2 linked regions of the Cricetulus griseus genome follow. Each later gene encodes a partner of the first gene's protein in a complex. Links are inferred from orthologs where the notes say so. Each region holds a gene or a part of one and is shown in the gene's direction. Other genes may lie near its edges.

Region 1 (6,154 bases):
CTTATGTGCCAGATGTGACAGGCCGGTATACAATCCTCATCAAATATGGTGGTGATGAGATCCCCTTCTCCCCATACCGTGTCCGGGCTGTGCCCACTGGAGATGCCAGCAAGTGCACAGTCACAGGTGAGCCAGCCCACTATCGGCCCCCGTGGCACTAGGCACGGGACTTGGGTGTGCCTGTGTGCAAGGGCTCGCTGCTTGGGGCAGCGTGTGGGAGTGGGGGCCGCCCCCTTGAGTGACTCACCTGACCTTTCTCCTTGCTCTCTGCCCTCTCACCTCAGTGTCAATCGGAGGTCACGGGCTAGGTAAGCTGCTTGCTGGGGCCACTCCCAATGCCCCTTCTGCCCAGAGAGGCAGTTTCCTTTCCTCTTCATTGCTAATTCATTCCCAGGACAGTTCCAGCTGCAGCTCTAGGCAAGGACAGAGTGGGGGAGGCTGTGCAGACAAGGCCATGGGCTGGAGGGTCAGGGCCCAGGGAGGTTTCTAGAGCTAAGCATGAGTGCTCTGGTTCTCCCCTCTCTGGGCCTCCACTTCCCCATCTGAGAACTCGGGTTGCAGCTGAGAGCTTTGGGGTGAAGTGTATCCTAGGAGGCACCCCACTGGGACTTTGGGGGTCTGGGGATCTTGGCACCTCTGGGGATGGGCAACAGGTGCTTCCTTCTCACAAGGGCTCCTGTGTGGGCTCAGGGAACAAGGTGGTTTCCTCCACCCAGTGGGAGTCTTCTAGCCCTCATCAGATCCACAGACTTCCATCCCTGCCTCCCAGGGGCATCTGCGTCCTGGGCTGAGGGAGGTGCATGAGTGGGTGGGGCTGGCTGGTGGTGCAGTGTCAACTGCTTGGGTGGCCAGCATGGTGGGGCCTGGCCCAGCCTCAGAACCCCAAAGTGCATTCCTGCGACCCATCTCCTTTCCTTCTCTTCTATTCCCTCAGCAGTGACGTTAGTTAAGACAGTCCCTATTAGACAGGTTTGTCTGCCCCAAGACAGAGACACCCCAGGGATACTGATAAGACTACAATTATTTACAGGCTTCTGAAGGCTGTAGGCCTGGAACTTGGGTAGGTGGCCAAGGACAGGATTATATGATAGCTAGGTTTTTGTGGCAGAGGCTAGATTGCTTTGTAGAACAGCACATGGAATTGGAGATGACATATATGTACACAGGGCAGGAGCGGGGAGAATAGGCTAGGGGCTTGGAGTGGCCTCAATTTTTCTGACCATTATGTGTGGAATGGAGGCAGGCAGCCCAGTAAGGGAACTTAAATCACCTTTGGGCAAGCCAAAAGGTTGGCTTGTGCCAGGTCAGTAGCCATTGGGACATTAAGCAGTAAATAGCCTGATTAACCAGTATACTTCAAGGATGCTATGGTTAAGACCTGCTGATAACCTAGAGTCTGTATACAGAAATGAGGAATTAAGTAGCTGTCAGGAGAGGGCCCAAGTCATTAGCTAGATGATACAAGGCAGGCATGCAGGAAACTTATAGGGCAACATGGGTATCAGGCAGCCAGGACTATAACTAAAGATGCTGAATCTCATGTTGCCAGTGTGAGACTAAGGTCAATAGGGGGACTTGGTGGCAGGCTGGTAAAAGGGGCAGTCCTTAAACTTGGTCCTCAAGTAGGTTTGGTGCTCCTAGCTGCTTTCCTTGTGGGAGGCTGGGCTGCAGGGGTGCTCTTGCTGCCAGGCCTTACAACCCACAGCTCCCAAGCCTCTACAGCTGAGCCCCAGATCATAACGTCACCGTCGTTTCCCTTTCCTCGGGCACTATGGGGCCCTAGAGGCTACTTAGATGCTTTACCCTTGCAACCCTGTGTGGTGGCTTGGGTCTTCTATCCTCTGTTCCTTGAGTACTGTCACTGCTTTGCCAAGCCTGCTGTGATGTATTGCATGGGTGCTAACTGCTGCCTCCCTGCTGCTTGCTCTTGTCTATGCCAGGCTGTGCTGGGCTGCTTCTCACTACAAGCTTCTGGTTGAGCAAGCGTTCTCAGTCGTCAGGAAACTCCAGTTTCACCTTCAGGCCTCGGGGGTGGATAGGGAGGAAAGTGTCACATTCCCCACACTGCAGTAGGACTCCGCCTCACTGCGTCCACACATTATAGTACTGGGTCTCAGGGCCAGGCCACAGGGGCGCAGGTAGCCATGGGCCTAGCCAGAGTGCTGGTTTTTGTCAGCATAGGCCATGGTACCAGGTGAGGCAGAGTTGGCAAAGGAGGTGGCAGTAAATGCTTGTGCTGGGATGGGATGGTCCCTTACTTTTCCTCCCAGGTACCTCAGTGCCACCTGTTGGGCCTCTCTCATAAAGAGGCTTGAGGTGGTCAGGAGAATCCTTCCTGCCTTCTGAGAAACCACTCACCATCCTGGCTTGGGGTATGGGTTGGGCTAGGGGTACGGGCTGGCTGTGCTTGACTGTAGCAATAAGAGACCTGAATGGGTGGCAGGCTGAGTAGCTCAAATGCTAGGCTCACCTGCTGGCTCCCCTCTGGGGATCCACTCTGCCCTCCCAGGTGCTGGTATTGGCCCCACCATCCAGATTGGGGAGGAGACAGTGATTACTGTGGATACGAAAGCAGCAGGCAAAGGCAAGGTGACTTGCACTGTGTGCACACCTGATGGCTCAGAGGTAGATGTGGACGTGGTGGAGAATGAGGATGGCACCTTTGACATCTTCTACACAGCTCCCCAGCCGGGCAAATATGTCATCTGTGTGCGCTTCGGTGGCGAGCATGTGCCCAACAGTCCCTTCCAAGTTACAGTGAGAAGGGGCCAAGGACGGGTGGGCAGGGAGATCTGGGAAAGTCCTAGTCTGTCCTTCCAGGCCCCTCTATGGCAAAAGTCTCCAGCTCTCCCACTTTGCCCTGCAGGCTTTGGCTGGGGACCAACCCACAGTGCAGACCCCACTACGAACTCAGCAGCTGGCTCCACAGTATACCTATCCTCAGGGTAGCCAGCAAACCTGGGTAAGGCCTAGCCTGGTCTATTGTTTAATTTTCCTGACCCATAGGGACACTTGGAGCTGGCCATCTTGGTGTCTCATGTGACCCTGTTCTACCATATGTGCAGAGAAACCTCAGATCTTCTTGTAGTTCCTCACCTGGTTTTTCTTTCTCCACCACAGGTTTCAGAGAGGCCCATGGTGGGTGTTAATGGGCTGGATGTGACCACCCTGAGGCCCTTTGATCTTGTCATTCCCTTTACCATCAAGAAGGGAGAGATCACCGGTGAGTGAGGGCTGGGAAGGAACTTGGAAACCAGTGATGCTAGGTGTGCCAATTACCTGTCCTGACCTCAAAACCATTATTCTGTAGGGGAAGTTCGAATGCCCTCAGGCAAGGTGGCTCAGCCTTCCATCACTGACAATAAGGATGGTACTGTTACTGTGCGCTACTCACCCAGTGAAGCTGGCCTGCATGAAATGGACATCCGCTATGACAATATGCACATCCCAGGTGGGCTCACTGCCTTTTTCTCACCCCATCATTGTCCCCTATTGCTACCATCTCAGAAAGAACAGGCTGGAATGGGGTTATAGGTCAGTTGGTAAATTGATTGCCTAGCATGCATGAGGTATATGCCTATAATCCTGGAGGAACAGGAATTCAAGGTCATCCTCAGCTTCATAGTGAGTTCAAAGCCATTCAGAGATACATGAGACCCTTTTTCAAAAAACTAAAACAAAAGACTAGTGCGTGAATGGGGCTGGTGGTATTCCATGTGGCTTCTATTCCTGCCTCAGGAAGTCCTCTGCAGTTCTATGTGGATTATGTTAACTGTGGCCACGTCACTGCCTATGGTCCTGGCCTTAGCCATGGAGTGGTCAACAAACCCGCCACCTTCACTGTCAACACCAAGGATGCAGGAGAGGGTAAGGAGAAGCTCTAGCCCAAGTTGTCCTCCCTTGGCTGAGGGCTGGTATGGGAGATGATCCTGAATGGAGTTCTTTACCTCGTCTTCCTGACTCTGCTGAGCCATCAAGTCAACTCATCCACCAAGGCCCAGCAATGCTTCCCTGGGCACAGTTCCCACCCACTCTTACCTGTGATGCTTTTCAGGAGGCTTGTCTTTGGCCATCGAGGGTCCATCTAAAGCAGAAATCAGCTGCACTGACAACCAAGATGGAACATGCAGTGTTTCTTATCTGCCTGTGTTGCCTGGTGACTATAGCATCCTGGTCAAGTACAATGACCAGCACATCCCAGGCAGCCCCTTCACTGCAAGAGTCACAGGTGGGGAGCATCAGGAATAATGACAAGAACAGATGGCAGGGTGGGCACAGTCTTTTGTGGCTGGATCCATAGTGACTAATGGCTTACACTCTTACCAGGTGACGATTCCATGCGTATGTCCCACCTAAAGGTGGGTTCTGCTGCTGATATTCCCATCAATATCTCAGAAACAGACCTTAGTCTACTCACAGCCACTGTGGTGCCACCCTCAGGCCGGGAGGAGCCCTGTTTGCTGAAGCGGTTGCGCAATGGCCACGTGGGTAAGAGGTTAAAAGTTGGCAAGCATTTCTGGGAAGGAGGGAGAGCCAGGTGTGGGAAGGTGGAGGCAGGAGAAATCAGGGGAATCAGTCATTGGCTACATAGTAAGTTAAAGCCATCATTGCCTTTGGGGTGGGGGAAGGAGGGAGGCTATGGGTTCACACACACACTGTTGATGGCTCTACCCTGTGCCCAGGGATTTCCTTCGTGCCCAAGGAGACAGGGGAACATCTGGTACATGTGAAGAAGAATGGCCAGCATGTAGCAAGCAGTCCCATCCCAGTAGTGATCAGCCAGTCAGAGATTGGTGATGCCAGTCGTGTGAGGGTCTCTGGACAAGGTCTTCGTGAAGGTCATACCTTTGAACCTGCAGAGTTTATTATTGACACCAGAGATGCAGGTAGGCAGTGGTGGCCTGCCAGCTGGGGCAATATAGCTTCACTTGGCATTCTGGCTTATAGCTGCTATCTATCCCCCAGGTTATGGTGGGCTCAGTCTGTCCATTGAGGGTCCTAGCAAGGTAGACATCAACACAGAGGACCTGGAGGATGGTACATGCAGGGTCACTTACTGTCCCACAGAGCCTGGAAACTACATCATAAACATTAAGTTTGCTGACCAGCATGTGCCTGGTGAGTATGGCAGCCACACCCCTGTGATTTGGCAGCCTTCCTGGACACACTTCAGTGTCCACCTGTAACCTGTGCAGGGTATGGACTTTCCTTTTTTTCCTACAGGCAGTCCCTTCTCTGTGAAGGTGATGGGTGAGGGCCGGGTGAAAGAAAGTATCACACGCAGGCGACGTGCCCCTTCAGTGGCCAATGTTGGCAGTCATTGTGACCTCAGCCTGAAGATTCCTGGTAGGGAAAAGACCAGAAGGGTTCCTAGGGTAACCCTAAGCACAAGTAGAGACAGGGCTTTGCTCAGCAAGCTATCTTCTACTTGTAGAAATTAGTATCCAAGATATGACAGCCCAGGTGACCAGCCCATCAGGCAAGACCCACGAGGCAGAGATCGTAGAAGGAGAGAACCATACTTACTGTATCCGATTTGTGCCTGCTGAGATGGGAATGCATACAGTCAGCGTCAAGTACAAGGGCCAACATGTGCCTGGGAGCCCATTCCAGTTCACTGTGGGGCCTCTTGGGGAAGGGGGTGCCCATAAGGTTCGTGCTGGAGGCCCTGGCCTAGAGAGGGCTGAAGCTGGAGTGCCAGGTAGGTGTGCTTGTCTAATTCTTGCTATCCTGGGTAGGCCTAGATGGGTGTTTAGAGGAGGTAGCTAGCAGTTATGTTGATCTTGGCTTTGTTTGGAGTTGTCTGGGGGTGGGGAACCAGTTCTCTGCTCCATGAGCACACACTGCTTTCCCACAGCGGAGTTCAGCATTTGGACCAGGGAAGCTGGTGCTGGAGGCCTGGCCATTGCTGTTGAGGGCCCCAGCAAGGCTGAGATATCTTTTGAGGACCGTAAGGATGGCTCCTGTGGTGTGGCCTACGTAGTTCAGGAGCCAGGTACTGGAAACAGAATTGGCTGGGGCAGGGGGAGTGTGGGTGTTTTGACCCCAGGTGTTACATAGTCTCCACTTGGCTCTTATTCTTGATCTTGAGGTTCCAGGGACACCCAAGCTGGCTGTGGAAGGCAATAGGCCTTTCCTAGGCTAGCTCTTGGAG
Region 2 (6,154 bases), on another chromosome or scaffold:
GCATCAGATACCTTAACCATTGATCTACCTCTCCACCCCACCCCTCAAGGTTATTTTGTTTGCGCTTTTTGCCAAATCGTATCATTTTCAATTTGTTCTCTGCCAGGCAGATGGGCCTATTTTGGAATATTACACCAATAGGCTCAAGGCTGCTAGGGGTCCTACACAGAAATGTCATCAGCTTATTGGCTTTGTCACAAATGGATAGAGGGAAAGAGGAAAGTGAGGGGGCAGGGATGAGGTCAAAAGCAGAGAGAGGTCTAGATGAGTGAAAATGTAATTATGATTTCAGAAGAACATCCAGGCATCAAGAGCAAAAATCTTGCAAAGTTAAAATGCAAGAAAAATAAATCACTTTATTGAATTCTTTAACAATATATAAATTGTTAAGTTATCCCTCTCTCTGTTTGCCACCTTTAGAAAAATACATACATATTTAAATTTCATTGTTTCATGTGTATCAGTGTTTGCCGGCATTGCACACATCTGTGTACCATGCATGTGCCTAGTGCCATCAGAGGCCAGGAGCGGGTGTTGGATCCCCTGGAGCTGGAGTTACAGATGGTTTTAAGCCACCACGTGGGTGCCAGAGGACCAGCATATGGATCCTCTAGAAGATCAGCCAGTCCCCGCTTCCCCTCCCAACAGGGTTTCTCTGTGTGGCCCTGGCTGTCCTGGAACTCAATCTCTAGATCAGAATGGCCTCGAACTCAGAGATCTGGCTGCCTCTGCCTCCCAAGTGCTGGGGTCAAAGGCGTGAGCCACTACTTCCTGGCCAGCTGATGCTCCTAACCACTCAACCATCTCTCCAGCCTTCACACTTTTTTCTTTGAGACAGAGATTTTTGCTATGTAGCCTAGACTGACCTCAGCCTCCCGAGTGCTGTATTACAGGCCTGAGCCAACCCACCTTAGCTGTGGGGCTGGAGGAGCTCTAGGAATTGAGCTTAGAGTCTCAGGTTTGCTAAGCAGGCTTCCTACCACTGAACAGCATCTCCAGCCCTGTGCCTGTTTAGCTGCTGTGTTAGTCACTTTTCTTGCTGTTGTGAGCAGATACTTGTTAGAGGTAACTTAAGGGTGAAGGTTTATTTTGGTTCATGGCTCAGAGAATGTAATCCATCATGACAGGTAAGGCATGAAGTCTGAAGTGGCTTGGTCTGTGGTGGTGGGAACCTGTGGCAGCCACTTGCTATATGCCGCTAGGCCTGGAAGCGGAGCTGGTGTGGAACAATACAAACAAAACAAGCCCTGCCCATATAGCCCTATTTATGCCAGCTAGGCTCTATGTTACAAAGATTCTACAACCTCCCTGAAACTGTGCCACCGCCTGGGGACCAAGTATTCAAAAACACCGACGACTCTGTGGTGCCCATCTTGTATTCAAACCATAGCAGCTTACTATCGAATGGCTAACTTGACGAAGACTGCAAATCTATGTATGGTAGTGATTTAAAATTATGATCACTGGGCTGTGGAGATGGCCCAGTGGTTAGGAATACTTCCTGCTCCTCCAGAGGACCAGGCAAAGTCCAGTTTCCAGTACCCAAGTCGGGCAGCTCTTAACCCAAGCCTAGGGGATCCCCCAGCTCTAGGGGATCTCATGTTGTCTTCTGGCCTCCATGGGCGCCTGCACAACTCATTCTCTCTGTCTCTGTCTCTTCTCTCTCCCGCTTCCCTCCCATAATATCACTCCCTCTCTATGTAATTAAAAATAAAGTATATTAAAATCATGATTGCTGGATTGACAAGGCATGGGTTTACTTTAAAAATATTACAGTACAGTTTTTAAATTTCTGACTGGGCTATATGTTTTCCTAGAAAACATATCTGGGGACAGCATGATCTATAAATTTACTGGACATTTGCTTTATTGTTGCAGTAAAAAAAATGTGTTAATGATTCCAGTCATGATTGCATGAGCCTTCGTCTTGTATAATTGCTTTAGTTGGTCTTGAGATAGCTCTCTGAGATAAGCACTATACGCCTCCATATATAAGCCTACCACTTAAGTACACTGACAGCCCCTTGTCTTTGTTTGGCTTGTGTATTAATTGTTTTTCGTGTGGCTGTGACCAAATGCGTGATGGAATGCAGGTTTAGAGAGGCCGTCAGAGAGTCCGTGCTTGGTAAATGGGGAGTTGGGGTTTAATCTGTCCTGTCTGGTTTTATCACTGCCTTACTTGCCCTTCCGGCTATCTGGAGGTACAGATGTGGTGCCACAGGTAGTCTGAAGGACTTGGAGTCTAGACTGTCTGAGTAATTGTGATTCTCTGGGACTGGAGTGTAACTGTGTGGTAGAGCATTTATCTGGTATGCATGGGGTTTTGGGCTCAATTCTCAGTGCTGAAAAAAGGAGAAGAACCAATATGATTCTCCCCGATCTGGGCACACTACTGTCAGTATCTGTCCCTTTGTCTTTATCTGACCCTGGTACCACCTTTCCACCACAGCTTTTCTTAAGATGACCTCTCTTCTCCCCCTCTCCCCACCCCCCAGTATCAAGACTACATGTTTGCCGATGTTTGGCTACAAACACGTGCTGACGCTAACTGACCAGGTGACCCGCTTCAATGAGGAAGTGAGGAAACAGAGTGTGTCACGTAACCGAGATGCCCCCGAGGGCGGCTTTGACGCCATCATGCAGGCTACAGTCTGTGATGTGAGTTTGGAGGGCAAGGGGTGCCAGGTGTAGCTGGCATAAATCAAAATGGGGGAGGAAACAGTTTGGTTGGGGATTTCCGGTGTGTTGGAGGATGGGAACCAAGCAGGACTTTGTACAATATGAGTAATAATTTTTCCTGCTGTGTAGTCTCTCTCTATAGCCTCACCGAGGCCACAGCTGACACCTCTTTGAACCACAGTAGCCCCAGATCTTTCCTAGGGAGAGCATTGGCTCACATGTTCTGGAATTATTTCAGAGTCAAGCCTGCGTTAACTTGACCTCAGCAAAGTGAGCAGATGTTTGGGTGGGATTTCTTCTAATCCAGGCCAGCTGTGTGGATGCAGAGGGTTTCTGTCACTGGAGGAGTTATGTGTAGAGTTAAGAAGGTGGGATTCAGACTCATGCACTAATCAACAATGGGGTGATTTTTTCCCTAAGGGAACAAAGCCTGAATTAGAAAGCTCTTGTTTATGTTCAAGGCTTGGGGCTGAGGTCCGTCTCCAATACAGCTTGTCCAGCTCTTGAGGAATGGAGGTTCTGCAGTCTTTGTTCAGTGCGGATGACATAGCTGAAGTCTCTGTGTCTTTTTTTTCAAAACAGGAAAAAATTGGCTGGAGGAATGATGCATCCCATTTGCTGGTGTTTACCACTGATGCCAAGACCCACATTGCACTGGATGGAAGGCTGGCAGGCATTGTCCTGCCCAACGATGGACAGTGTCACATTGGCAGTGACAACCATTACTCTGCCTCTACTACCATGGTGAGATGCCTGGTCCCACTGTGGTCCTTGTTCACTCTGATAGGGCTGTTTTATTCCAGGCAAGGCTTTTGTGTGAATTTGAAAACAGACTTACTTCTGGGCATTATATGGGGCTCAGTTAGTGCCTGTTTCTGCCACATCCCAATAGGGCACCCTCACCCAGGGCGTCACACTGACTCCGCAGTCGTCAGCACCAGCAACAGCATCTTGCCATCCAAAATGTGGGAAGGCACAGCTAGAAAACTCTCTTCCCTCCTTCCTCTGTGGATGGGTCCCTTCTTGGAATCAAGCTCATTTGTGGTTACTGGGGAAAGACAAGGGGGAGAAAAGGACAAAGGTAAAACCCAGAGAGCAGAGCCTCTTGAGGAAAGGTTAAAGGGCACAGAGTCATTCGGTTTGAAAGAAAGATGTTTGTGGATAATTTAGGATGATAGGTAAGAAAACTTATGAAAAGTTATTTCATGTGTTTTATTTAACCATAGACAGTTAACTAAATAAGAAGAAAGGAGCTTAAATTGAAATAGGAATTACTGTCAACCATGAGGCAAATGTAGCTAAGTTTAAAATAATAACACTTAGGGTATTTGGAGAAAGTCTTGACTTTTTTTTTTTACCTGTCTTGTCCCCCTACCCCCCTTCATTTTCTTGAGTCAGGGCTTTGCCATGCAGTCCAGGTTAACTTGTAATTCTTAGTCCTCTGCCATCACCTTCACATCAGTGGGGTTACAGTAATTTGACAATATACCTGATTTTAATTAATTGATTAAATGATAAAGGGCCTTGTTCTATATATAGCCCAGGCTGGTTTTCTCCTTGCAGTCCTCTGCCTCAACCTTCTGAGTATTGGGATTAGAAGCTTATACCACCATGCCTGTTTTTTTTTTTTTTTCCCTTAGTCTGGAAATTGAATTCAACGTCTCATAGTATATTAGATAATTGCTCATCCACCAGGCCATCCCCAGCCTACTGTTTATTTTTAAATAAGAAACAAAACCTTATTTATTATTAAAACATACTCCTTATTTTCTCTAGTCAATAGAGGAACCATTTTGTGGCTTAAAAGTGATTCAAGGGAGGAGACTGAGCTAGAGAACTCATGAGCTCCCTTGCAAGGTCTATGAGCCCATGGACATATTGGTTCATACTGTTTCCTGGTCTCTTCAAGTCCTTGGTATTAGCCATATACAAGCTGAGCACTATCGGACTCTGATACTAGTCTATACAAGGCACTGATCAGGAGCTGCGAGAGATGAAAAAGCTATAAGGACCTACTCCTACAAGTTTTTTTGTTTAGATGAAGAGAGAGGATATATTCCAGCACATTTATCAATAGCAGCGAATGCATGCTGAATGCTAAGTGTGTTATACAGTCAAGGGCTATTGGCAGCCGGAAGAGGAAAGCTCCTTAGGAGCTGGGGTGGTCAAGGAAGGCCTCTTGGAGGAGGTGAGCTTTGGCTAAGGAAGGAGGAGGATTGCCAAGATGAAGGTCACTCGCAGGAGGAGTGAGCTAGAGCAGTGCCTGGTAGAAGAGGAGTAGGGGTGAGTGATGGTTGTTGGTCACGTGTTGGTTGATCAGTAGAGCGAGGCTAGGACATTTGCCCACAGCTCTGCAACGGTGGGCCTTAACTCATGGAGCTGGTTTGAATCTGAGTGGGAAGGAAGGTGCTTGGCTTTGGAACACCACCAGCTTAGGGTTCTTTGCTAAGCTTGCACTGCATTGCCCTTCTCACTCATATAGCAACTTTCATTTCATATCCACTTTCTGTTGCTAACAGTAAGCCAGAAAAGAACTTCAGTTTTGTTCTTAGAACTTGCGAGTTTGAGAGACCACATCTGGTGGTCATCTTGCTGGCTGAGTCCCAAGACTCAGGCCGGCATGAAGCAGAGGTCAGGGAGTGTGTGTATGGGTTTCTGTTTTCATTGTTCTCCTCTCATGACACTAGTGGGATTCAACTCTGGGGGCTTTGCTGTAATGACCTCTAACCATACTTCCCGAATACTCTACTCCCCAGTACTGTTGGGGGGCGGGGCTTGTCTTCATCCCCCCCCCACCCAAGCATCTCACAGTGTGAATTCAATTTCATCACATGAAACCCAAGGGACACACTGGAGCCATGTCCAAACCACAACACCTCACTTTGATTAGTGCATAAATGTTTTAAGTTTCACATTTCCTTGGCGATATCCCCATGAACCTTTCCCTCTTTTCCAGGATTACCCGTCTCTGGGGCTGATGACTGAGAAACTATCCCAGAATAACATTAACCTGATCTTCGCAGTCACTGCAGACGTGGCCAACCTCTACCAGGTAACTATGCCTCTGGGGCTTCCGTCCTGTTGCCACAGATGGACCTGTCCCAGGTGGCCATGGACCCAACCAGGAAAAAAATCCTTTTAAAACTCATTCTCTGGGTACTTAACATAACTCCCTATAGCCTTTTTCCTTCAGCCTCTAACCTGCTAGGAAGAGGGTGTAGATGTTTGAGATGATGGTGAGGAGATAAATCAGTTGGGGGAGGGGAGTAAAAAGGTTTCTTACTTTTCCCTCAGATATGAAAATCTGATAGATCTGTTCTGGTAGTGACAAGTGAGGCATCCCACAGTGTCCTCACAACTTCACTTTAAGACTGTCAGTCTGGCAGTGGTGGCACACGCCTTTAATTAAAGCACTTGAGAGGCAGAGGCAGGCAGATCTCTGAGTTTGAGGCCAGCCTGGCCTACAGAGTGAATT

What was found. Proteins that work in one complex are often made in the same cells at the same time.
Region 2: the proteins of Flna (region 1) and Itgb3 are in contact, whole or in part, in an NMR structure (PDB 2MTP), measured with the Homo sapiens proteins. The link is inferred for Cricetulus griseus from reciprocal best matches to the Homo sapiens genes FLNA and ITGB3. Residues at the interface, in NP_001104026.1 of Homo sapiens: Gly2236, Arg2264, Ala2268, Gly2269, Gly2270, Leu2271, Ala2272, Ile2273, Ala2274, Val2275, Glu2276, Gly2277, Pro2278, Ser2279, Lys2280, Ala2281, Ile2283, Phe2285, Asp2287, Gly2291; in NP_000203.2 of Homo sapiens: Lys742, Ile745, Thr746, Pro771, Leu772, Tyr773, Lys774, Glu775, Ala776, Thr777, Ser778, Thr779, Ile783, Tyr785, Arg786, Gly787, Thr788.

The regions. Positions count from the first base shown.
Region 1 is NC_048604.1:1,480,108-1,486,261, forward strand, and holds part of Flna (filamin-A), read left to right. Parts: coding exon 1-126; intron 127-284; coding exon 285-308; intron 309-2,509; coding exon 2,510-2,757; intron 2,758-2,866; coding exon 2,867-2,962; intron 2,963-3,120; coding exon 3,121-3,223; intron 3,224-3,310; coding exon 3,311-3,451; intron 3,452-3,738; coding exon 3,739-3,867; intron 3,868-4,054; coding exon 4,055-4,228; intron 4,229-4,326; coding exon 4,327-4,488; intron 4,489-4,682; coding exon 4,683-4,886; intron 4,887-4,965; coding exon 4,966-5,118; intron 5,119-5,223; coding exon 5,224-5,346; intron 5,347-5,434; coding exon 5,435-5,701; intron 5,702-5,857; coding exon 5,858-5,995; intron 5,996-6,154. UniProt on the Homo sapiens protein: Promotes orthogonal branching of actin filaments and links actin filaments to membrane glycoproteins. Anchors various transmembrane proteins to the actin cytoskeleton and serves as a scaffold for a wide range of cytoplasmic signaling proteins.
Region 2 is NC_048600.1:117,664,050-117,670,203, forward strand, and holds part of Itgb3 (integrin beta-3), read left to right. Parts: intron 1-2,495; coding exon 2,496-2,658; intron 2,659-3,261; coding exon 3,262-3,423; intron 3,424-5,635; coding exon 5,636-5,731; intron 5,732-6,154. UniProt on the Homo sapiens protein: Integrin alpha-V/beta-3 (ITGAV:ITGB3) is a receptor for cytotactin, fibronectin, laminin, matrix metalloproteinase-2, osteopontin, osteomodulin, prothrombin, thrombospondin, vitronectin and von Willebrand factor.